3 linked regions of the Rhinolophus ferrumequinum genome follow. Each later gene encodes a partner of the first gene's protein in a complex. Links are inferred from orthologs where the notes say so. Each region holds a gene or a part of one and is shown in the gene's direction. Other genes may lie near its edges.

Evidence for each region.
Region 2: KAT2A (region 1) and TADA2B share a complex: the UniProt entries of both Homo sapiens proteins name them as parts of the TFTC-HAT complex. The link is inferred for Rhinolophus ferrumequinum from reciprocal best matches to the Homo sapiens genes KAT2A and TADA2B.
Region 3: KAT2A (region 1) and TADA3 share a complex: the UniProt entries of both Homo sapiens proteins name them as parts of the STAGA transcription coactivator-HAT complex. The link is inferred for Rhinolophus ferrumequinum from reciprocal best matches to the Homo sapiens genes KAT2A and TADA3.

Annotation. Positions count from the first base shown.
Region 1 is NC_046304.1:37,969,330-37,977,070, reverse strand, and holds the start of KAT2A (histone acetyltransferase KAT2A), read left to right. Parts: upstream 1-4,734; 5' UTR 4,735-4,758; coding exon 4,759-5,193; intron 5,194-5,326; coding exon 5,327-5,450; intron 5,451-5,793; coding exon 5,794-5,939; intron 5,940-6,045; coding exon 6,046-6,135; intron 6,136-6,421; coding exon 6,422-6,603; intron 6,604-6,692; coding exon 6,693-6,884; intron 6,885-7,741. Other genes in the region: RAB5C (ras-related protein Rab-5C), read left to right, coding at 729-822, 1,354-1,469; HSPB9 (heat shock protein beta-9), read right to left, coding at 3,111-3,593. UniProt on the Homo sapiens protein: Protein lysine acyltransferase that can act as a acetyltransferase, glutaryltransferase, succinyltransferase or malonyltransferase, depending on the context.
Region 2 is NC_046288.1:84,604,884-84,612,049, forward strand, and holds the start of TADA2B (transcriptional adapter 2-beta), read left to right. Parts: upstream 1-4,104; 5' UTR 4,105-4,225; coding exon 4,226-4,495; intron 4,496-7,166. Other genes in the region: CCDC96 (coiled-coil domain-containing protein 96), read right to left, coding at 1,965-3,623. UniProt on the Homo sapiens protein: Coactivates PAX5-dependent transcription together with either SMARCA4 or GCN5L2.
Region 3 is NC_046300.1:44,115,844-44,123,815, forward strand, and holds the start of TADA3 (transcriptional adapter 3), read left to right. Parts: upstream 1-4,910; 5' UTR 4,911-5,027; intron 5,028-5,209; exon of another isoform or gene 5,210-5,712; intron 5,713-6,409; 5' UTR 6,410-6,430; coding exon 6,431-6,637; intron 6,638-7,972. Other genes in the region: ARPC4 (actin-related protein 2/3 complex subunit 4), read right to left, coding at 576-687, 1,918-2,036, 4,810-4,812. UniProt on the Homo sapiens protein: Functions as a component of the PCAF complex. The PCAF complex is capable of efficiently acetylating histones in a nucleosomal context. The PCAF complex could be considered as the human version of the yeast SAGA complex.

The DNA of each region.
Region 1 (7,741 bases):
ACCAAAGGGAGGTCTCCTTGGCGGGTAGCGTGTGTGTGCATACGGGGAGCTGAAGCCTCTGCTTGTTTTTTTCTGTAAAGTGACTTTTTAATGAAATTATTGAAAAATACTTTTTTTCATGTAATACCAGCATATAGTAAAATTTAAACAGCACAAGAAGGTATATAAATGAAATTTAAGTCTCTAATCCTAGAAAATCAAACTCCCTCCCCCACCCCAGTTCCTCACTTTCTCATCTTTCCAGAAATAGGCACATGTGTATGAATCCCTTTCTTTACATAGATGGGAGTGTGTTCTACATACTGTATTTTTTTTTACCAGTCCCTAACTGATGGACTTCTAGGTTGTTTGTGCTGCAGTCAACATGCACATACTTCTGTGCTTTTGTTCAAATGTGCAACTATATTTGTAGGATCACTTTCTAGAAGTATTTCCTAGCCTAGTGATTCTGAAGAACAAGAAGACAGAATGGACATAGGGAAACCTGAGTAAAACATCTGCCAGTGTTTGTGAGCTGAGAGGTGCTGTACCTGAGTGGGGGGTATGGGGCCAGATGTCTCAGAGGAACCCAGAGCAGGAGTGCTAGCAGCCTGAAAAGCCCCTGCACAATGTTGCTATTGTGTATAAGGCACTGTGATCAGGGAAGATTTTTTTTTATCCTGGGCCCCAGCCCCTACCAACTGTCAACACTTCCCTCCCACCCACTTTCTCACCTCTATCCAAATCAGGAAGCACAAGCCTATGCAGACGACAACAGTTTGCTGTTCATGGAGACATCAGCAAAGACCGCAATGAACGTGAATGAGATTTTCATGGCAATAGGTGAGCTGCCTCTCCTCCCGTCCCCACATTGGGGCGTAGAACCTGCCTGCTGCTCCGTAGTAGGTCCCTTCACCACCAGATCTTTCACCATTTTTAATATTGTGATAAAATCATTTTCTTCTTCATCTGACTCTCAGAGATAGATAGTTCACTCCAGAAGTTTCTAAAGCCTGGGCCAAAGTCTCAACATTTCATTTCCTGACCTCTTAGCTTGCCACCCATCTAAAACCCTGTGTCACCATCCTACCCACTTCTTAGGATTTTTTTTTAGGCCATTTGGCTCTGGAGTCATCCTGCCTGGGTTTGAGTCCTAGCTCTACCACTTACTAACTCTGGGTTTGAGCAAGTCATTGAACCTCTCTCTGCCTCAGTTTCCTGAAACACTCAGAATGCACCTGACACATGGAAGTGAAGCCCTCAGTATGTTCATTATTACTGATTGGGTGGTAAAGGCCAGATTCTACTCAAGTGGACTTGGGAAACAGTATTGGCCTACCCCCACAAACATTTTCTCCCTCCTCTCCCAAACAGCTAAGAAGCTCCCCAAGAACGAGCCCCAGAACGCAGCTGGTGCCCCAGGCCGGAACCGAGGTGTGGACCTCCAGGAGAACAACCCAGCCAGCCGGAGCCAGTGCTGCAGCAACTGAGCCCCCTTGCCCACCCACTGCCCCCACCTCCTCCGCCTGAATGACCCGACTGGAATCCACTCTAACCAATCGCACTTAACGCCTCGGGCCACCACTGCGGGGGCAGGGGGAGGGGTCCACCATGATTTCACCATATAATTTTGATCATAGGCCGGAGTGAGTTATTCCACCTGCACCTTTCTGTACAAATACTAATTCAATTTTAAGTCTTAAGTCACTTTTTTAATATATATGATCTTCTGCTCTTCCCACTTCCTGCCCTTTCTACAGCTCTCCCACTCTCCCTTTGCTGGTAGTAGCCACCGCCCCTGTTCCTCCCACCCGTGTATATGGGGAGGCAGGGGTGGGAGCAACTACCCTCTTTTCCTCTTGCTGATTAGCAGGGTCAGCAAGAGCCTTCACATCCTTACCGTGTTTGGGGTGGGCTTGGTTCTGGGTGGTGGGGCAGGCCCTGGGGCTAGGGAAGGGAGAGGCAGCTCTCCCTTCAGCTGCCTGGCATCAGGCTGCAGCCCCCCACCCCCACCCTCCTACCCCTGATTCACAGATGGGAGAAAAACCACAGCATTATTGTGACAGCCACGAACCCACTGCCCACAACCCACCCCACCCTCCTCGTCCTTGGTCACCCTGACCGACCTCTGGCTCTGAGCCCTGTTCTGACCAAATCACGATGATGAGTATTTGGGGGTGGGTGGGTAAGGGGGGTAGTGGGAGGGGATGGAACCAACTTTTTCTGTATTTTGTATTGTATGTTTTCTTCAACATGTAACCAATCAGTATCTTGTCAATATAGTCAGCCGATCGATCGACCTCCGCTTGTCTCGCTTGTCTTTCTCTGGCAGAGCTTATCAGACCATATCCTCTCTGGCTTACTTTGAGGTTAATTTACAATGAACCACTGAATTTTGTTAAACAAAAGCCCCGCCCACCCAAGTGAGGAGATGCTGGTGCTCATGGTAACCAAGAGAAAGAGGCCCTTGGTTACCGGTGCTACTGCATGGGGTTGGGGTAAGAGTGACTTGGAACTGAATCTCACCGAGTTTGAAGAGGGTCCTACATTTGCCTCTCCCCCACCCCATCCAGATTACATTGGGGTGATTTGCAGTCTGGGTTTGAAAATAATTGGTCTCTGAAACACCAAAAAAAACTCTGGGGTCTTTGGTTACTCTGTACCAGGCCTGTGAGGGACTGGGTCCTCTTCCCCTCTTCCCTGAAGAGGAAGAAACACCTATGACCTCTGGAGCTTTGGACTGAGCGATGGTCAGGCCCAGACAGCAGCTTCACACCAGGTCTAAGCCATCTGCTCCCTGGTCTCTGGGGAGCCCTCTGCCGGTTCTGGAACCAGGTGACACTCTGGCCCTCCCGGCCCTCTGCTGCTCCCTGCTGGCGCTGCTGCTCTCATCTGCCAAAGGTTGAGGATATTGGTCCAAGCAGTGAGCTGAGCTGAGTAGGACAACACACCTCCAACCCCCACCCCCAGCTCCCACCAGGGCCACAAAGGCCTAATTCTTGGTGGACCACCACCTTGAGGTGCCTTTCTTGCCTCCCTCTACCTTCGTTATACCCCCACCTCTGACCCCAACCCTGATAAAAGACCACAGACGCCAAGGCAGCTGCTCACTAGGGTGGTGGTTTACCGGGTCAGGCTAGGTTGGAACCCTTCTTAGAGCCAGGGCTCCTGAGTCTCGAAGATGGACTTGTTAGGGCTCTAGGGGAAGGCAGCGCCTGGCACTGGCCACGGACACACAGCTGGCCCGAGGGGGTCAGACAGCAGGTCATGGCTGCAGGATCCAGGTATGATGGTAGTTGCATTTGCTGCTGCATCTTCTCTGTCATGCAGTAGCACCCCCCATCCGGGTTGTGGCCCTCCGTTTGCCGCTGTCCCGTCACCATCAGGCACTGGCCGTCCACTCGCACCACCAGCTCCTCTGGGGTGAAGCCGTGGGCATCCATCTTCATCCGGAAACCATTCTCCACCTGGATATCGTCCCACGCAGCTGCCACGTCTTCCCTGAGCAGCTGCACCGGCAGTACGGCCACTCGGTTCTGTTCGGCGAGGGCTACGCTGGGGGACCGCGACATCACCTGGTTCCCTTTGGGAAGACTGCTACTGACCCGCTGCATCCAAGTGAGCAACTGCTGTTCAAGGGCGCGAGGCCCAAGTGTAGTGCTCTACGCAGGACACAGGAGAGGAGGGACCCTCCTGCGCCACGCGCGGCTCTACTCTGGCTTGGCTCCACTCCCACTCCTCGCGGCTCAGCTCTGTTCAGTGGGGCTCCCTTCACTTAGGCAGTATGGGGTCAGCTACGCATGTCCTACATCCATAGGTCAGGTTGTCAGCCACCCTGGAGCGCCCCCTACTGCTTTTATCCTGGATCCTGCCCCTTCTCGGGACCCTCCCCATGGCCGGCCTGGAGCCCAACTGGGTATCCTAGGGGCAAGAAGATTGTCCCTTGGACAGAGCCACTGGAATGTGACCACTGGATCATCCATTCTCGGAATGTCCTGCCTTTCTCTGACCAGGCACAAACCTGTGACACATTGGGGACTGGGAGGTGGACACAGTCTTCCTGGCTTCCCTCATTTATCCATGCTGGGCCTACTGTGCGGCAGGCTCAGCTGGGTTCTGGGATCACAAAGATGAAGACGCCGGTCCAACCCTCAAGGTACCGATGGTATTGGGGAAGAGACGTTACCAAACGTAGGGAAAGGCTTCTGCCCTTGTCTGCTTCTACTTCATACCCTCCTTGGCAGCCTTCTTCGTGACCACAGCCATGCCTCTGGTGCTGCTTTATAATAAGCCCTTTTTGTGGAAGTATAACATACGTACAGAAAAGCACACAAAAGGGTACAGTTGAAGTATTCCAAAGAGAAATACACGTGTGTAACCACTTCACATATCAAGAACTAGAATTGTTGCTGCTGAATCTCCTCCGTAGCTGCAACTCTGTCTCTGAAGACATGTGGGACAGGAACAGGATGGAGGGGGGAGGGAGATGTACCAGGAAGCCAACTCGACCCCAGACGCTAGGTCTGCACGTCCACCATCGGGTCTTGGGAGGGAAGTCCCCCAACCAGAAGCCTGTTTTCTGGGATGCTTCTCCTTATCCCCAAGAGGACAGCAATCTTGACTATCCTGGAAGCCTTCAAGAGAGATTGAAAATGAAGAGGGGTTCAATCTGGGGTGCTGGCTTGGGCTTCTCTTGGCTGTCTGGGACCAAGAGACAGGATAGAAAAGTCTGGAAGCTGGAGGCAAAAGGAGCAGCGGTGGAAGACTACAACTCCCATAATGCTCCGAAGCAGCGACGCCTGCGCACTGAGCGCCGGTTGCCCATGCGGCCCTAGGGCTGGGAGCGCTGCGCCGCGCTCCGCTGCGGGGGAGGCCATGGCGGAACCTTCCCAGGCCTCCACCCCGGCCCCGGCCGCGCAGCCCCGTCCCCTTCAGTCTCCAGCCCCTGCCCCAACTCCGACTCCCACCCCCAGCCCGGCTTCGGCGCCGACTCCGGCTCCCACTCCGGCACTAGCCCCCGCCCCAGCTGCAGTCCCAGCCGGGAGCACCGGGACGGGGGGGCCCGGGGTAGGAAGTGGGGGTACTGGGACCGGGGGGGATCCGGCTCGACCTGGCCTGAGCCAGCAGCAGCGCGCCAGCCAGAGGAAGGCGCAAGTCCGGGGGCTGCCGCGTGCCAAGAAGCTTGAGAAGCTAGGGGTCTTCTCGGCTTGCAAGGTGGGGGCGGGGCCTGGGGTGAGAGGGCGGGGCTTGGGACATCCTAGGGCTCGGGTGGCAATGGGAGCCCTGGCTCGGAAGCGGCTCCACGTCCCTGGGGTACAAGTTTATTGACTGATCCTTCTGCCTCCAGGCCAATGAAACCTGCAAGTGTAATGGCTGGAAAAACCCCAAGCCCCCCACTGCACCCCGCATGGACCTGCAGCAGCCAGCTGCCAACCTGAGTGAGCTGTGCCGCAGCTGTGAGCACCCCTTGGGTAAGGCAGATAGTGCCTTGGAGCTGGTGGCGGGGAAGAGGCAAGTGCCTGGTGCTGCTTGGAGAGGACGACTTCAGTGCCGCAGAGCTTCATCTCTTAAGATGCCTTCTAAGGAAGAATTGGGTTGGGAATGTGTATCTCCCCAGGGAGGAGAAAGGAAATCTGCCAATTCAGAAGAAACAAGGGGTCACCCAAGGGCTGACACACAGGAGCAGTCAGTCTTAGTGCTGGTCACAGTGGTTGAAGAGACTGAGAGTGTATCATAGCTGGCGATGAAGAGGGCCAGAAAGCCCTGTTGATGTCTTCTGTCTATTCTTCCCAATTCTACCACCTGTTCTTGTAGCTGACCACGTGTCCCACTTGGAGAATGTGTCAGAGGATGAGATTAACCGTCTGCTGGGGATGGTGGTGGACGTGGAGAATCTGTTCATGTCTGTTCACAAGGAGGAGGACACAGACACTAAGCAGGTCTATTTCTACCTCTTCAAGGTGAGCTTTCTCCGCAGGAGAGTGAGCGAGCAAAGGAATTGAGGCTGGGAAGTCTGCATCTCAGAGCTCTGCTGACCTCTACGCCTCCCTCTTCCTCTTCCTCCAGCTCCTGCGGAAATGCATCCTGCAGATGACCCGGCCCGTAGTGGAGGGGTCTCTGGGCAGCCCCCCATTTGAGAAGCCTAATATTGAGCAGGTGGGATGAAGAAGGGGGCAAGAGAGTTGGGGGCATTTGGAGGAATGGGGAGCCTGTGTTCTCCATCCTCATCATACTGAGAACGGGAGAGGTTCCAAGAGGGGAACATGTGTTGTGCCAACCTCAGGGTGTGTGTGGGAGGGGCACAGTTTCTCTTCACATAGAGCTTCAGAATGAGAGGAGAGCCTTGCCGCTGCCCTTAGGAAGCCTCTATTTTGGGATAAGAAGCCCCTGCTGGCTGCTCACACCTCCTTCCTGGTTTTGTCTCCTGCCCACCCCTTCTCAGGGTGTGCTAAACTTTGTGCAGTACAAGTTCAGTCACCTGGCTCCTCGGGAACGGCAGACGATGTTTGAGCTCTCAAAGATGTTCCTGCTCTGCCTTAACTACTGGAAGCTTGAGACGCCTGCCCAATTTCGGCAGAGGTCTCAGGCGGAGGACGTGGCAACCTACAAGGTCAATTACACCAGGTAGGCCCAGCCAGCCTGGGGGGAGCTTGTAGGCCCAGCCTGAGTTCGGTGGTTTCCACTCTCACTTGCCACTTCCGCACTCCCTGCAGATGGCTCTGTTACTGCCACGTGCCCCAGAGCTGCGATAGCCTCCCCCGCTACGAGACCACTCATGTCTTTGGGCGAAGCCTTCTCCGCTCCATCTTCACTGTTACCCGGCGGCAACTGCTAGAGAAGTTCCGGGTGGAGAAGGACAAGCTGGTGCCCGAGAAGAGAACCCTTATCCTCACCCACTTCCCCAAGTAAGGCTCTTTCTGGTCTATCGTGATTTAGCCCCGAGTTCACATCCTCCCTGATGTCCCCTTTTTTCTAGGAAGGCTTCCTGGATTGGTCCTTCCTCTCCCTCCATGAGCCTTCTGGGATCTGGGCATCTACCTGGCAGATGTGCCCATGGGCCAGACACAACTTGCTAGCATTTGCCTTTGTGTGTATTAGGCTGGGGATGGCAGGTACATGGCCTGAGTGCTAACACTAGCCCTGTCCACACCCCTGGTAGACGTTACTAATTGTTTCCATGGGGCCTGGACACAGCCTCAGAATCCTTTCTACCACAACACTTCAAAAGACCAGAGTTTACGCTTGAGGTAAAACCAGTTTCCACTCCTAGTTCTTTCAGTAAGATTTTTCTCTGTTCTGCCACACCTTCTTCTCATTTTAAACGTGCTCATAGCTGTCCAGTTCAAGAAGCTTTTACTGACTAATCCAGGGCCTCCAGTGCCCCTTCTGCCCCCAGATGGGAATAAGGTGGCAGGAAGGGGTGGATTCTGGGCCCTATTTTGGCGCTGAGGACGAGCGTGACTTGGTGCCCTGTCTGGCCACATAGTACAGGACGGTGCCAGTTCAGCTCCTGTCTCCCTCATCTGTGCACTGGCAGACTGGGCCTCTGGTCTCTGTCTTGGATTTTGTACTGCCCTTCTGCCTTCGATGAGGGTCTCCCAGAAGGAGGAGGACTGTGCCTCCCCCTAATCTGAAGGCAGAAGTTGTCTCTGTTCTTAGGCTCCCAGTTCCTGAGAACAGGATCTGTTTCTTTGATCCACGTCCAGTGCCCCGGTGTCTGGCCCAGGCTGGTCCCTTGGTTGGACAGAGTGTGGGACAGACT
Region 2 (7,166 bases), on another chromosome or scaffold:
TGTGGGACTCGAGGAATTGAACTGGCAACCTTGTGGTTGAGAGCCCACTGGCCCATGTGGGAATTGAACCGGCAGCCTTCGGAGTTAGGAGCACGGAGCTCTAACCGCCTGAGCCACCGGGCCCGCCCTGTGTTTAATAAATGTATTGAGCATCGATTATGTCCTTGGCACTGTGGGGGAGGTTGACAAACCAAAAGTCCTTGTCATCCAGGGACCTTGCCTCGTAGGGGTGCAGAGAACTAAGCAGACAGTCACAAAGCAGTGGGTCAAAGGCTGGCACGGGGCTAAACAGCATGTCAGTAGGACTGCGGGGGGATGCCTTAGGCTCTGCCAGGCTTCCTCAGACGGAATCTATCTAAAGAAACAATTTGTGCATGTGTTGGTATTTTATGATTAAAAGCTCGCCTATAATCTAATTAGAAAGAACCTTGTTAGAAGTAATCAACAGATTATGTATCTTCTAATTAACAGTAACATCTCCGGCATACGGTAATGTAATTTGAGAGAGCTTCAGTAATTGTGCCCGTTAAAACAAGGCCAGCCTCTTCCTTCTCTTTTGTATCTGTGCTCTTTGTGAGTGGAGTCAAGGCTGATGAGGGAATGTTTGGTTCACCCTTGTCATGCAGGGTGTCATGCAGGGTCTCTGGTCCCGCTCCCCACACAAGAACGCAGGACATGGTGAGGCCAAAAAGGAACACCCACGGAGCCATAGATAGGGGAGTCATACCACTACTATATTCTCGCTGGTGGCTGGGTTGCAGACACAGGAAACAGGATCCACACGATCTGCAACCCGCCGTCCACTTCTGTCTGCCAACCAACCAACCCCACATGCCAGCTGCAATGCACCATGCTAACTGCAATCCGCGCTTGCAGGCTCAGCCACCATCTTCTTGCTAGCCCCCATTTTCTGCTAGCGTAGCCACGGCAGTTATATTAGTGGCCAATGGCTCAATGGTTACAGCTGACGGCCAATGAGCCACAGCTGATGGCCATCCAATCACAGTTGATGGCCATTTACTACCTGAGCCAGCAGCACCTTTCCACGTGAGGCCGACAGCCTGGAAACTGCACTCCTGTCCCCACAACCCTAGATACTTGCCAATGGGTCAAAATCAGCTGATGATACCCGTTCTCCCTCTAGTGAACCAAAGGGATGGACACTCATAATGAAAGCCGCTTGCTTGGTGAAGGCACCAAGCATGTTGCCAGTTTCACTCTGAAGCCTCCCCAACCACAGAAGAACCCAGTGCTGCTTTTCGCTGGAGGCACACAGCAAACATTCTGTTCGCCAGTGATTTACTACTTAACTTTGGCTTTGATGAACGGGTCGAGAGAAAACAAAAATTGTAGAGGATAAGGAGAATGGAAGTAAGAAGTCAAAGATTTTACTCCCTTCATTGTTACGTGTGTGTGGCTGGATAAGTATATTATTATTTTAAAAAGTATATTCAAGCTGTGGAATGTAGCCAGGGATTTTAATGAACCTTTATTGGCTTCAAAGGAAACACTTTGGGTTAATCTAAGGGAATTAGTGAGCTTTGAATTGAGACTGACTTGACACTACACAGCTTAATAAATCCAAAGGGATTTAATAATTAGCTTAATGCACAGGAATTTTGGGGTGTCCTGCCCATTGGCTGAACCTTCCCACATACGGCAGAGGATCAGTTCTCAGTATCAGGCCATTGAAATTATGGAATTGCTCAGATACAAAAAGGCTTTCAGCAGCTTTTTAGGAGAAGTCAGGTATACTGCTGTTTGTGTCTCTGGACCTGTTTTACTTAACCCCTATAAAACTGACCGCTAACCCAATTTTGGAAGCTGAAAAATTATGCGATACAAAATGTAGTTCCATCCTAAATATCACAGGCCTTTTAAAGAGTGGCAACAAATGGAGAATAAGTTGATGGAGGATAACGTGCTGAGAGGAGCCGTTCTGCCGCCTCTTCTCATCAGCCATGTCAACGGGGCAGAAAGGCTCTAGCTTCCCGGATCTTCTGCCTCACTCCTCGGCAGGACAGGGTAAGGCCAGCGTGGTGGTGCTTCAGGGACTCTAAGCGCTGCCGGAGCCCTTCCGTCTTGCCCACCTTCTCTTCCAGGTCCCGAAGGAGAGACTCCTTGCCCAGAAGGCCACTCTTCAGATTCAGCTTGATGTTGTCAACCCGCAGGCTGTCTCTGGCTTGCTTAGTCTTGGTCAGGATGTCCCTCTTTAGGGCCACCTGAGTCTCAATGTCCAAAAGCTGTGACTTTCTGCCTGCATTTTCTAGTTCCATAAAGTGGAGCTTTTCTTTCACGTGGGTAATTATTTGCACGTTGTTGTTCACCTTCTTGCGCAGTTTCAAAAGCTCCTCATTTCGCTCCTCAACTTTCTCATTGAAGGTCTGGTTCTCAATCTTAAGCTGTTCAAAGTCGATGAGCAGCAGGCCCCCGGCCATGTCCTCCTGGGCACTCATCCTGGTATCGAAATGCACCAGGCCCTGCCTCAGCTGCACGTTCTCCAGCCTCACGGCACTCATCTCCTTCTGCTTCTTGTCCTCCAGCGCCTGGATCTGCTCTACTTCTCGCAGAGCGGCCTGGCGACCGCCCCTCATCCGACAGCTGCCCATGGCCTGCAGCATCACCTGCTTCTTGAGCGCCTGGAAGTCTCGCCACGCCTTGTCCACCTTGGTCAGCTTCTCCTCGCACTGCAGCTTCAGCTGGTCCAGCTCCTGGTGATACCAGTCCAGGTCGTCCGCCTGATGCTTCCTCAGCTCCTCCAGCACGGCGAGGTGGCTGAAGTATGCCTCCTCCTTCTCGGTGGACTCGGGCTCCGCGCCCCTGTCGGCCCCCTCGGCTGTGTCCAGGCCCTTCTTCCTGCGCAGCGCATCCGAGATCTTCTGCTGCAGGTAGATGTTGTAGCGCTGGTAGCAGCCGCGCTCCACCACCAGGGAGCGGTACTGCTCCAGGAGCTCAGTGCGCAGCTGCCGCTCCTGCGCCTTCTGCACCTCCTCCGTCCATTCCAGACCCTCCTGGAGCCCCTCGTCCAGACCGTGGCGCTCCAGCTCCAGCTCGCTCTTGGCCGGGCTTCCTCCCACACTCTTCCCCTCGCTCTCGTCCTCCTTCACCTCCTCCTCCCGTCCCTCACGCTCAGCCTCCGGGACGGTCGCAGCCTCTTCCTGGCCGGTCGTGGACAGCGGCAGAGAGCTCCGCGACGGGGCTTCCTTCCGCCTCTCCTCCGCTTCCTCCTCCCTCTCCTCCTCCTCGGGTTCCTCGGGTTCCTCGGGCCCGCCTTCGGACTCCGGCTTGGCTGGCTCCTCAGGTCCGGCCTCCGCCACCTCCTCTTGCTCGGCCTCGGTCGGCCATTCCCGCTCTCCGGGCCCCTCCTTGCCCGCGGCTTCGGTGGCCTCTGGCCCTTCCCGGGGCTCGGCGGGCTCTGTAGGCTCGGCGGGCTCGGCCGGCTCGGCCACGGCGACGCCTCCCTCAGCAGCCTCTATGGTCTCCGGCTGCGGCTCCGGCTCCGCGGTGTCCGCCGGGGACTGGGAGCCAGAGCTGGCCGTGATCTCGGACAGCCGCGCGGCCAGGCTCTCCACATGTCTGTCTTCCTGCTCAGGGTCCCCAGTGTGCTCCGAGTGGCTGTCCATCTCCCTCCGGCTCCGCCAGCGCCACTGACTCCAGTTGCCGGCTGTTAGGTTTCCAGGGGCAACCAGAGGCGCTCGCGGTGGGTCCGGCGATTGGCCAGGCGTCAGCCCGGCGCCCTGCCCATTCTTCCCGCCTTCCTGCAGAATCAGGCCAATGAGAGGCCGCAAGCGAACGAAGGGAGGCGTTGATTGGGAGAGGGAGTAGGCTCGCGCCGAGAGGGGCGTGGCGCACCCGCAGCGTTAACTTTCCGCCCAATTCCCACCGCCAGGCCTGGGGCGGGGCGTCTGGAGAGGCTCCGAGGGGCGGGCGGCCGGCGCAAGGGGCGCGCAGGCGCAGAGCGGCGCGCCGGGTCCCCGCGCGGTGGCGCGCGCGGGGCGCCTGCGCGATGCGGCGGGGCGACGGCGGCGGCGGCGGCGGCCGGGCCGGCCGGAGGGCGCCTGCGTGCTGAGGCGGGACGCGGCCCGGCTGGCCGGCTCCGGCGGCGCCTGGGCGGGGCGGCGCGGCGGCCGCTGGCGGCGGTTGCTGGAGCGCGGCGGCGGCCCGGGAGGCGCCGAGGGCGGCGGGCGCGGCAGCGGCGGCGGGCGCGGGCGGCGGGCGGGGGAAGATGGCGGAGCTCGGTAAGAAGTACTGCGTGTACTGCCTAGCCGAGGTGAGCCCGCTGCGCTTCCGCTGCACCGAGTGCCAGGATATCGAGCTCTGCCCGGAGTGCTTTTCTGCCGGCGCCGAGATCGGCCACCACCGCCGCTACCACGGCTACCAGCTGGTGGACGGCGGGCGCTTCACGCTGTGGGGGCCCGAGGCCGAGGGCGGCTGGACCAGCCGCGAGGAGCAGCTGCTGCTGGATGCCATCGAGCAGTTCGGCTTCGGAAACTGGGTGAGCGCCGTCCCTACGCGGACCCGGGCGGGAGGCGCCGGGGGGCTCAGTCCCTTGTTCGGCTAATGCAGCCCGATGCGCACCTGCCGGTTCAGCGCACACCACCGAGGGCCAGGCAGGCAGACGCAGCTCACGCGGGGAAACCGGAGCGCAGAGGGGTTAAGCAACACGCCCAAGGTCACACAGCCAGGAAGTAGCAAAGCGTGGATTTGCACGGTGGCTTTCGGCTGCAGAGCCATTTTTCTACCCTTGAGCAGTACTTCCACGGGTGTTTGCTGAGTGCGGACTATGGGCAAGACCCAGCGCCTTACCTGAGTAGGAGTGGTGGACGTAGGCAGGTTAGCAACCCTGACAGCAGTGGGAGCACTGGGAGGCACTGTTTTGCCTGGAGAACAGTGGTGGCGAAGGCCAGGCAAGCTTCACACACGCCCTGCGGCTGCTGTCACCATCTCTGATACACTTACTTTGTACTCACAGCCTGCTGGCTTTGTGCGGTTCTCTGTGCGTGCGCCCTTGTCCCCTGTTAGGGGCTTTTTTATCCTGGGGTCCCCACAACACCCAGGACGTCGTGTGAGGAGGGGGTCAGTAAGTACCGAACAAAGGAGCATGGACGAGGACGCGTTTGTCCTGGGTTTTGTTCTCTCTTCAGAAAGCTTCTGTGGTGACTTTTATCTGCCAGGAAAAGGGGAGAGCTGGGCTGGATTCATTTATACCAGCAGGATAGGGTGCGGGGCTCCTCGAGAGAGAAACGCGGGTGCTTTTCTCTAGGTGGTCTCTGAGGAGCTCTCTTCCCGCTCTGGAAGTGGAAGCTTTCGGCCGTGTTAGAAAGGAAAACCTCTGGCTGTGTTCTGGCCCAGAACTGCCAGGTTTGTGGCGGCCTCCTGGCATTGTGAGAAATAGGACAGACGTGACCCCAGCTCCCTCGTCTTTCCAGAGCCTTCCCTGTGATGGTCCCCCTACTTCCCTGAACCAGCAGTTCATCTTACCCCTTCCGCAGCAGTACTCCCCTCCTCCTGGGCTCCCTGTAGAAGACATTCCACACTTCTTCCCTCATTCCCAAACCTGTCTTGCTGTTACTTCCTTTTGCTTCTTTTCCATAAAGTGAGCCCATCTTCAGGGACCAAGACCCATTCTGCAGCGATTCTTTACTCTTCTCCCAGCTCCTTAGACACTGCTCTGCAAATTCTCAGCTAAGCAGCAGCATCGAGCTCGCCACCCTCCAGAAATCGCCATCTCACTTTGTCTGGAAATGCAGTTTGTTGATGTATATCAAACATGTTATACGATAGTGAAACACTCTGAAGGCAAGAAAGGTTTCGTCTTTGTCTTCAGGGCGTTGCCAAGGTTGTGACCGTTGGGTCCAGAGACTGGAACTCTTCCCCAGCTCCAGGCTTCAGTGTCACAGCGCTACCCGACGTCCTTACCTGCATGCACATCCCAGCCCTACCTTACTCACATCTCACATCACCTCACCTGGTGACTCAGGCCGCACCCGAGCAACCATCCTCAGCTCCTCCTTTCATGTCCAGTGCGGCAGCAGCTCTGTCTTCAAACTGTTTCCAGAATCGAGCCACTTCTCACAACCTCAGTCCAGGCTGATACTTACCTCTTGCCTTGACCACTTCTGGAGCCGCCTGTCCGATCGCCCGGCTTCGCTCTTGTGCCCAGCGGCCCATTCCACACGCCGTAATCAGAGTGATCTTGGAATGTGATGTCACATCCCATCAGCCTGCAGTGGTTTCCAGGCCTGCTCAGATTCAACTTCTCGGCCTCTGGGGCCTTCCAGTGTCTACCCACCCGTGGGATCCCAGCGGCCTCCCCTTGATCATGTGTTACTCCTTCTGCTTAGAGGGCTCTTCCCCAGATCACGGTCCATGACTGCTCTTTCTCCTTACATGGCAGTGCCTCAGGGAGACGTCCCTTGCCCACGTCACCCTTACAGCACGTAGCTGTGCCGTAGCCACGCATACAGCTGACGTGGCGGGAGCCTTGCCGAGTGCCAGGTGCTGTGCCCGTCTCCTTAGACCTTCACAGCAGCCTATACAGCGGGTTGGAACTGTGTAGTCGGACTTCAGAGTCTGAGCTCCTAGCTGCACTGTCTACACTGCCATCCGTGCAGCATGAAAAGCAAGCCCAGGGAAAGTACATGAAAAGCAAGCCCAGGGACTAAAACATTTATAGTGTTTTGGAGGAAGCAAGGGGCTGAAAGGGTGGCATTCTCTAAAGCAGTACTTTTCAAACTTTAATGTGCACACGAGTCATCTGGGGAGCCTGTTACAATGCAGTTTCCCACTCAGAGCCGGTGCAGCTGTTAGAAGAGACGCAGCCGGAGGCCTGGGGGCCAGGCGCCTTCTCCCTGGTGGGTTCAGGGGGAGGCCAGAGGTGTGCGTGCTAACCGCCTGGCGTGCTGCCCGCCTGTGGTCCCCAGGCCGCGCTCTGAGCCGCGGGACTCCAGTAGGCTTCTGGCTGTGCTCTCTCGGGCTCACTGATTGACCCTCGAAACTTCGTGTTCTTCATCAGAGGCTCTTGCGCAGCCCCGAGGTGTGTGGCTCCCTTCAGAGCAGAAGAGCGGCTATGTGCCCATAGCGGTACGCTCCGCGTGTGCCATTTTAGCGCATGCCCATGTGGACCGGGCTCTTCCATGCACGTCGCACGTGCTCTTCGCAGCAGC
Region 3 (7,972 bases), on another chromosome or scaffold:
CTGTAGGCAACAGTATCTAGTCTGAACTTAGTGACACTGTTTTGTTTTCATTATGTTTATGTTTATTTTTTAGACTCCCTCTATTTGGTGAGTGATACTGTTTTCCCACTTATGGCATATTCTTTTTCAAACTAATTTGAGAAGAAAAGTCAGTTTAAAGAAACCCATTCAGTAAATAACTGTCCAGGTGGCACGTAAATACAAAATTGTGGAGATGGTGGGAATGTCAGCTGCCTGAGGCAACATTGTACTTTGTTTTTCACCCTAAATCTCACTTTCAGAATTTATGGCTATCAAATTGGTACTGGTACTATTTATTTTTTGTAGTGGATTCTTCCTCATTACTCAGGAATGGTTCCATGCCCTGACACCACACTGGCCCATGGCCTGAGCTGCTACATTCAGAACAAGGCCTACAGGACAGAATGGCTCACTCTTTATTCTACTGACTGGCTGAGTTTGGCAAATCATTTCCTGGGTACATTTAAGGAAATAGAGGGTTTCCTTGCACCCTGGTCTCTCGGATGGGGGATCCCCGGCCTCCTAGGGAGGCAGGGGCTCCATGGCGAGCTCACCTGTTTCACAGCAATGCTGACCCGTACAGAGTTGATGGAGCCCTCAATCAGAACCTTTTCCTTCTCATTCCTGCTGATGGTCACAGGCTGTAACAGGAGCTCTTTGCTACTCCTGAAAACACAATGTCACAAATGCCTCTGTACTATAGAGGAACAGAATGCTTAGGGACACCCCACAGCAGGTCCTGGAATCACTATCTGAGACCAGAGTCCAAGAAATAGGAGACTCACAAGCAGGGGTGCTCCAAGATGGGGGCCAGTGAGTGTGTTCTCCAGTGGAAAGAGCACAGGCTCTGGAGTCAGGGCGAAAGGTTTTGAAATCCAGCCTCCTCTGTTACTTTCCTTGGGCAAGTTACCCTCTTGGAATCTCAATTCTCTCATCTGTAAAATGACTGATTCCTATTTCACTGGCGAGGACTGAGAGAGATCAAAAAGGGTCAAGTGTCCAATAGCGTGCCTGGCACACGGTAAGAGCTTTACAAATGGCAGCTCTTATTTTAATAACTATAGGCAAATCCACATACCATTTAGGGAACAAAAAGAGGGACTACCTTAAAAATAAGGACAGGCTAAAATCAAACACAGTCAATCCAGAATGACTCACTTATTCAGCATTAAGACCTCTCTCAACTCAGTTCCCATTCTGATGTCTCTACTTCCCTAGATCTATATAATGATAATTCACTGTGGTGGTGGTGTCTGTGAATTGTTGTCATTTTAAAACGCCTAGTGGAGATCATATATGTAAAGTAGCATAACATGGCACATGCTAACATCTTGTGTGTTTTTAAAAATTCAAATCATATCAACATAGTGTGGTAACACCACATCTCAGTTATAGATGTATGTCCCAGATTAAACTTTAAATGGAAAAAAAGAATCATCTGTTTATAAAACATGAACTAGATGAGAGAGAGACTATAACCCAAAATGCAGAATATCTGGAGTAGGAGATGAGAGAATACAGTTTGGGGGTGGAGGGGGGGGAGAAAAAATCCTTGATCTTTAAGAAAAGGATGGAGATGGCATCTAACTAAATCCTCTCAGCCAGTGGGTTCAATAATGCCACAGGAAATACTTCATGAACAACTCTACTCTGAAAAGTCATACCTTGTGTCAAGCAATCTTGGCTCCAGAGTAGATTCTCCCCTGGGTTTTGTCCTGCCAACCTACTGACCCTATTTTCTGAACTCCAAATTGGGAACCATTGTTCATCTGGCAGCAAGACAAAATATGTGAACTGTGGTTGTCCTTCCAGGATGGAAGTTCATGGCACCTTCTCAACAACAGCCACCTCTGGGGCTGTACCTATCACCCCTACCCTGAACTTTTCCTTCCCTACCTGACTTCCACCTCCGGCTTGTTGTGTCGTTCCACGACCTGGGAGGAGAAATTCTCCAGGCAGAGGGCAGCCTGCAGTGTGGCCCGCACGGCACTCAGGTAGGGGCGGAGAGTGGCAGTCTGTAGGAAAAACCCCAAAGGAGGATCAGAATCTGTCTCACCAAACACACTGGTCCCCTGCTCCAGCTACACAGGAGCCAGGCAGTACTGAGGGTGCTGGATTCTCAGACACCGAAGAACAGACTAAGCCTTCAAGGTGCCTTCCAGTCTAAGTCTGGAGCAGTGGTTCTCAACAGGGGACCATTCTGCCTGCCAGGGGACATTCGGCAATGTTAAAACATTTTTTACCGACATGACTTGAGATGGGGGTGCTACTGGCATTGAGTAGAAAGAGGCTGGGCAAACTGCTAAACCTTCTACAATGCACAACAAAGAGTTGTTCAGCCCCAAATAGTGCCGAGGTTGAGAAACTCCGGTCTAGAAGCATACAGGTAAATGAATGATTGTCCTCAATCTGTCTTTTGAGCCAACAAATGGATAAATCTACTATGTGCCAGGCACTGAGCTAGGGGCTGGGAATTCAATGATTAAGACCATCTCTACCCTTAAACAGCTCAATGCGGGGAGAGACTATGATACAAAGAAGAATAACTGAATTAGATTTACAAGTTATATTTGCAGAAGCAATTGGCTTTGATTTGAAGATGGAAATACAATTAGGAGTACTTTAGAATGAGAAAAAAAGAGTAAGGGCATTCCCACTAGAAGGATCAGCTTCTAGCTACTCTAACTCATCTTCATTTCCTTACATTCGCCAAGTTCTTTTTCCCCTCAGAGTTTCACACTTGCTGAACTATCTATCTGCAGGCTTTTCTACCCTCTTGTCGCCTAAGTCATCCTTCAGATCTTGGTTTATTCAGGGACAGCCTCTTCCTTCCTCAGAGAAGTCTTTCTTGACTTCCCCTTAGTAACAGTTCTTGTAATTTACAATGATACATCCTTCAAACATCTTTAGTAAAGCGATTTCTCTTTCACTAGACTGCAAGCCTCAGGGTCAATAGACCGCGTCTATTTTATTCAAATCTACATATCCTGCTCCTAGCTCAGTTAGTACCTAACCTATATAGTGTCATTCATTTTCTGTAGAATAAATGAATGAATGAAAGCTGTAACTTAAGCAAGGTTAGGATTAACACAAAAGGGCATTAAGAGTTCCAGAAGTAATAATGAGTACAATGTTGCTGTAGGAAACATATTTTAGATTTAGTAAACAAGGCTGCAGTGGTAGTCTGGAGATTCATGGGGAATCTCAAATGCCAGGCTACTGAGTTTAGCTTTTCTTTTAAGGTGGTAAAGAACTGCTGGGACTTTCTGAGGGGGAAGTTATAGGACCACAGCTGCAGGGGGGCTCTGTGGAGAATGGATTGGAGAGGGAAGTAAGACATAAGGCAGAGAGAGTTATTCAAGGAGTACTGATGAGAGCCTAGACTGGGGCCTTAGAGAGGAAAAGCACAGCAGTTCGACTATAACATAAGTATCAGAGCAATTCAACTGTAACATAAGTATCACAGCAGTTAGACTGTAACATAAGTATGCCAGCGATTAGACTATAACATAAGTATCACAGCGGTTAGACTACAACATGGTTAGACTATAACGTAAGATGTAGATAATCATGGAATTAAAACACCTCCCAACAAACTACGCTCCATTGATACAATTAAATACTACTCAGAAATGAAAAGGAGTAACTACTGATACAACACGGATGAATCTCAAATGCACTATGGTAAGAAGCCACATTCAAAAGCCTACATACTGACAATTCCATTTATATTACAATATGGAAAAGGCAAAATTATTGGGGGGTTAAAATCAGTGGTTGCCTGGGGTCGGGGAAAGAGGAGGAGGCCTGATTACAAAGGGACTGGCGGGAACATTTTGAGGTGATGGGAATGTTCTGTGCCTTGATGGTAGTGGTTACGTGATTGTGTGTGTCAAAATTCATAGATGATAAACCGGAAAAGGGTGAATTTTAGGTGGCCAGCCCCATGACACCTGCCCTTTCACAAATAAAACAGTCTCATGCAATACCTCAATAAACCTGATTTTTAAAAAATCAAGAGGTATGGCCAATTTAAGAAACAAAGAAGGAAGAGCGAGTTTAGGAGAAAAGAGGAGTTTTGATCTGGAGGTTTAATGTCAAAGTATCTTCAAGATATCCAGGCAAACCTTGGGAGACACCAGAATACACAAGGTCATCAAAGCCAAGGGACTAGACAGGTACATTACTCCCAGGAACGTACACATTTATCAAACAGGAGGATTTCCAGGGAGAGAGATCAGCAGTATCAGATCTTACAGTAAGGCAACAACGTTTTTGTTCTGACCAGGAAGGGGCTCGGGTGGAGGCAGCTTAAGAAATCCTTCAGTACGGTAGAATCAAGGTAGGGGGTAAGGAGAAGAGTGGGATATGGAAGTGTAGACGCTTCCCTGGGGAAACTAGAGAGTCTGGCGGGCAGGAGAAAACAGAGCAGTGCATTTAGTGAAGTTCTATTCCGGGTGGGGAGGTAGCCCTACCACCTGAGCGCTAGCTACTACGAGCCTAGGAGGTCTCACTTCCGGCTTCCTCCATGCCTCAGGTATTCCCTACCTGTCTCCAAAGACAGACTGTGAAGTCACCATGCCTACTTCTTACGAGGGCGTTCCCCGCTCGCCCCTTCCTCCCTTCGACCCCCACCCCGCCTTCTTTCTCCGAGCCTCATCGTGCCCCCAACTCCCCAGCATCCCTCGGCCCCAGGCCTCTCCGCTGCAAAGCCGTATCTCCCCCAGACCCACAACTCTGAGACAGAATGGGGGGGGGGGTCCCTGGCCCGGGGCCCGGCTCTCTCACCATCGCGGGCGCTGGCTGGGCCGGAAAGCGGAAGTACGGAAGTGGCCAGGCCCGCGACGCCTGCCCTTTCGCGAGAAGCGCAGCCGCAGTCTCCGCCCGGACTTCCGGACAGTACCATCTGTGCTCCGAGCAGGGTGAGGAGAGCCTCGGAACGCTGGGTCCCTTGGAAGTTTTCCCGCTAGGACTGCCTTGGTATCTTTAGACTGCTGCAATTTCAGGTCGGTACTCAAGCTTCTCCCGTTATCCATGCAGCTCTCGCTTGTGACTTTGGCTTTCTTGTCCTATTTGCCGCTTTCTTTCCCCATAGTCATGCAATGGTGCCGCCCGGCCGAAGGTTGGGCACCATATTTGGACAAGGCGAGGCGGAGGAGCCCTGCGTTCCTTCCGGTTCTGCGCCCCCATCCTTCCCCCGAGCCCCTCCTACCGGCTGCCTCTGGGGCTCGGCGGAACTAAATGCCTGACCGAAAACCCGGCTGCCGAGCCCCGCCCTCCAGCCCTTGGCTGTTCCCTCGGGTACCCGCGGCGTAACCCCCACCCCAATTGCAGTGGTCCAGCTCACGGCCCGCAAACCCTCCCCCGCAAGGCACCGTGAGCTCTCCCTCGCGTTTCTCCGCCCCCGCGTCAACTGCAGGGGCCCCGCCCATAGCCAGTTGCGAGCGGTAGATCCGACCAACCGGAACTCCCCACCCCCTCTCGCGGCCCGGGGGCCGTAGGAGGCCAGAGTGTGGAGGTAGAGGGGGCAGGAGCCGCGTTAGGGGTCTCGAGTGGACGGGGACCCTGAAGGCGGGGCATTGGGGCGACCCACGGGTGGAGCCAGCCGTTAAGCAGTCCCACTTCTGTGCCAGGCACTGAACTGGGCTCTTGACGAGCATCATCTTTTAATCCTCAGAACATCCGGGGGAGGTAGGTACCATTATTATCCCCATTTTACAGATTCAGACTTCTTATGGGGAAACAGACCCACACTACTTTGTCCCCATTTTGCAGTTGGAAAAACCGAGACTCAGGAAAGTTAAATGGCATATTCAGGGCCACATACATAGAGAACGGCAAAGTTTGGGCTTGGACCCAGGTATGTCTGGCTTACCATATCACATTCTTAACCACTGTCGGGCAAAAATAACCGGCAAAGTGGGAAGGAGTGAGACAAGGTGAAGCAGGGAGGCACAATTGAGAATGGGATGCTTGGAGCTCAGAGGCTTAGCAGAACTCACGAGAAGAACAACAAAAGAAAAGAGCATCAGGAAGACGTGGCATAGTGTATCATGGTAGTGAGGGGCTCAGACTCAGAAATACCTGGATTCAAAGTCTTGGTAAGCTTGGGCATGTACCCACCCTTACAAAGTCTCAGTTTCCTTATCTGTAAAATGAAGAGCACCATGGTCCCTGCTCAGAGGGTGAGGAATCAGTGAAAAGCTGGTAAGATGTCTGCACCTTGCTTGGTGCACAGTGGGTGCTCTCGGAGTAATAGCAGTGCCATCAGTCTTGTCAATAGGGTACTGAAGTCGGGCTTTCTCCTTGAGGCTGTTCCTGGATGGAGGGAACCCTTGGGCTTTCCTTGTGCCACTTTACCTCCCATCAATGTCCCTCTCCTTTTCAGCTCCGCAGGGTATCCTGGGCCATGAGTGAGCTGAAGGACTGCCCCTTGCAGTTCCACGACTTCAAGTCTGTGGACCACCTGAAAGTCTGTCCACGCTACACAGCAGTGCTGGCCCGCTCTGAGGATGATGGCATCGGCATTGAGGAGCTGGACACTCTGCAGTTAGAGCTTGAAACCCTGCTTTCCTCTGCCAGCCGGCGCCTGCGGGTGCTGGAGGCCGAAACTCAGGTGATACCCTACAGAGACGACGTCACCAGGGGTAGACTGATAAGTTATGGGATGGCTCATTGAGTTCGTCCCATCTGCTAAGGCCTGGGGTACAGGAGGTTGCAGGGGGGACAAATTGGGTTCTAGGGACACAAAATAAGCAAGAACATGTGTGATCTCCATAAACTGCAAGATTTCTAAGCATTTATTGACAACACAGCCCTCCCGCCCCCGACCCACCCCTTATGTTCTGGGTCCTGTGCAAGTCATTAGAGAAAGATAATTAAGACAATTCTGGCCTTCAGGGAGTTTGCTAACTATAAGTGGTGGGGGGCTGGTTAGACAAGTACCAGGTGATGTGTTATGGTTAGGGGGAATAGGGGAACTGGAATGAGGAGAGGATTTGAATCCTGGACTAAGCACTAGTTAGTGTTAGTTTCCTAGCTCTGTGACTTTGGGAAGATTACTTCCTATTTCTGAGCATGTTTCCTGTCTGCAAACTGTGCCGAATAATAGGACGTACCAAAGAGGATTTGTGAGGATTAAGAGAGGTTTTTTGTTTCGGTTTTTTTTTGCGAAGTCTGAGCCCAGTTTCTGACACTAAGTCAGCATTTTAAATGTTAGTCATTGGCACTACTCTCATCTCTCTTCACTGCATAAACATCCTCTGGGGCCTGTGTGCCAGGTGCTATGCCAGATCCTGGGGGACAACTGGTTAAGATGAGCTTCCTGGTCTCCAGCAGCTTATAATCTAGTCAAAAAGATAAAGTATGCTGTGCATTTTAGTATGTCCAAACAAGATGTTTGGGCCTACAGTGAAGGTGCAAAGTGCCAGGGACTCATAGAGGAAGAAGATGCCATTTCAACTGGACTTTGAAGTATGAAGAGCGTTGACTTGTGGTCCCTGAGAATCCACTGAAGCTTTTTGAACAGGGTTGTGGCACAACCCGTTGTATTTTAGTGTCTAAGCATCAGGTAACTGATGTGAAGAAGGCTTCCCAGTTGTGACTTTCAAAATGAAGGTTTGCTGGGAGGCTTGCTTGCCTTCACCAAAAAGTTTCCACCAGCATATTTTCCCAGACCTAGCATGCACTGGGGTGTGATCACTTGTTTGGCCTTGCTACTAAACACCACCGAGGTGAATCAGAATACAGACAAAATGAATGGAATGATGAGAAGTATCTGAGTAAAATCCTGTAAGATGGACACAGAAAAGGAGCTGGGTTTTAAAGGATGAGTAGGAGTCTGCTAAATAAAAAGGGGGTGGGGAAAGACTTTAGCGCCTCCTCAAGTTCTAGATCCTGATTCTTCACTGGGGGAAACAGTTGTCCTCTGTCTTCCCTTCCCTCCCTCATT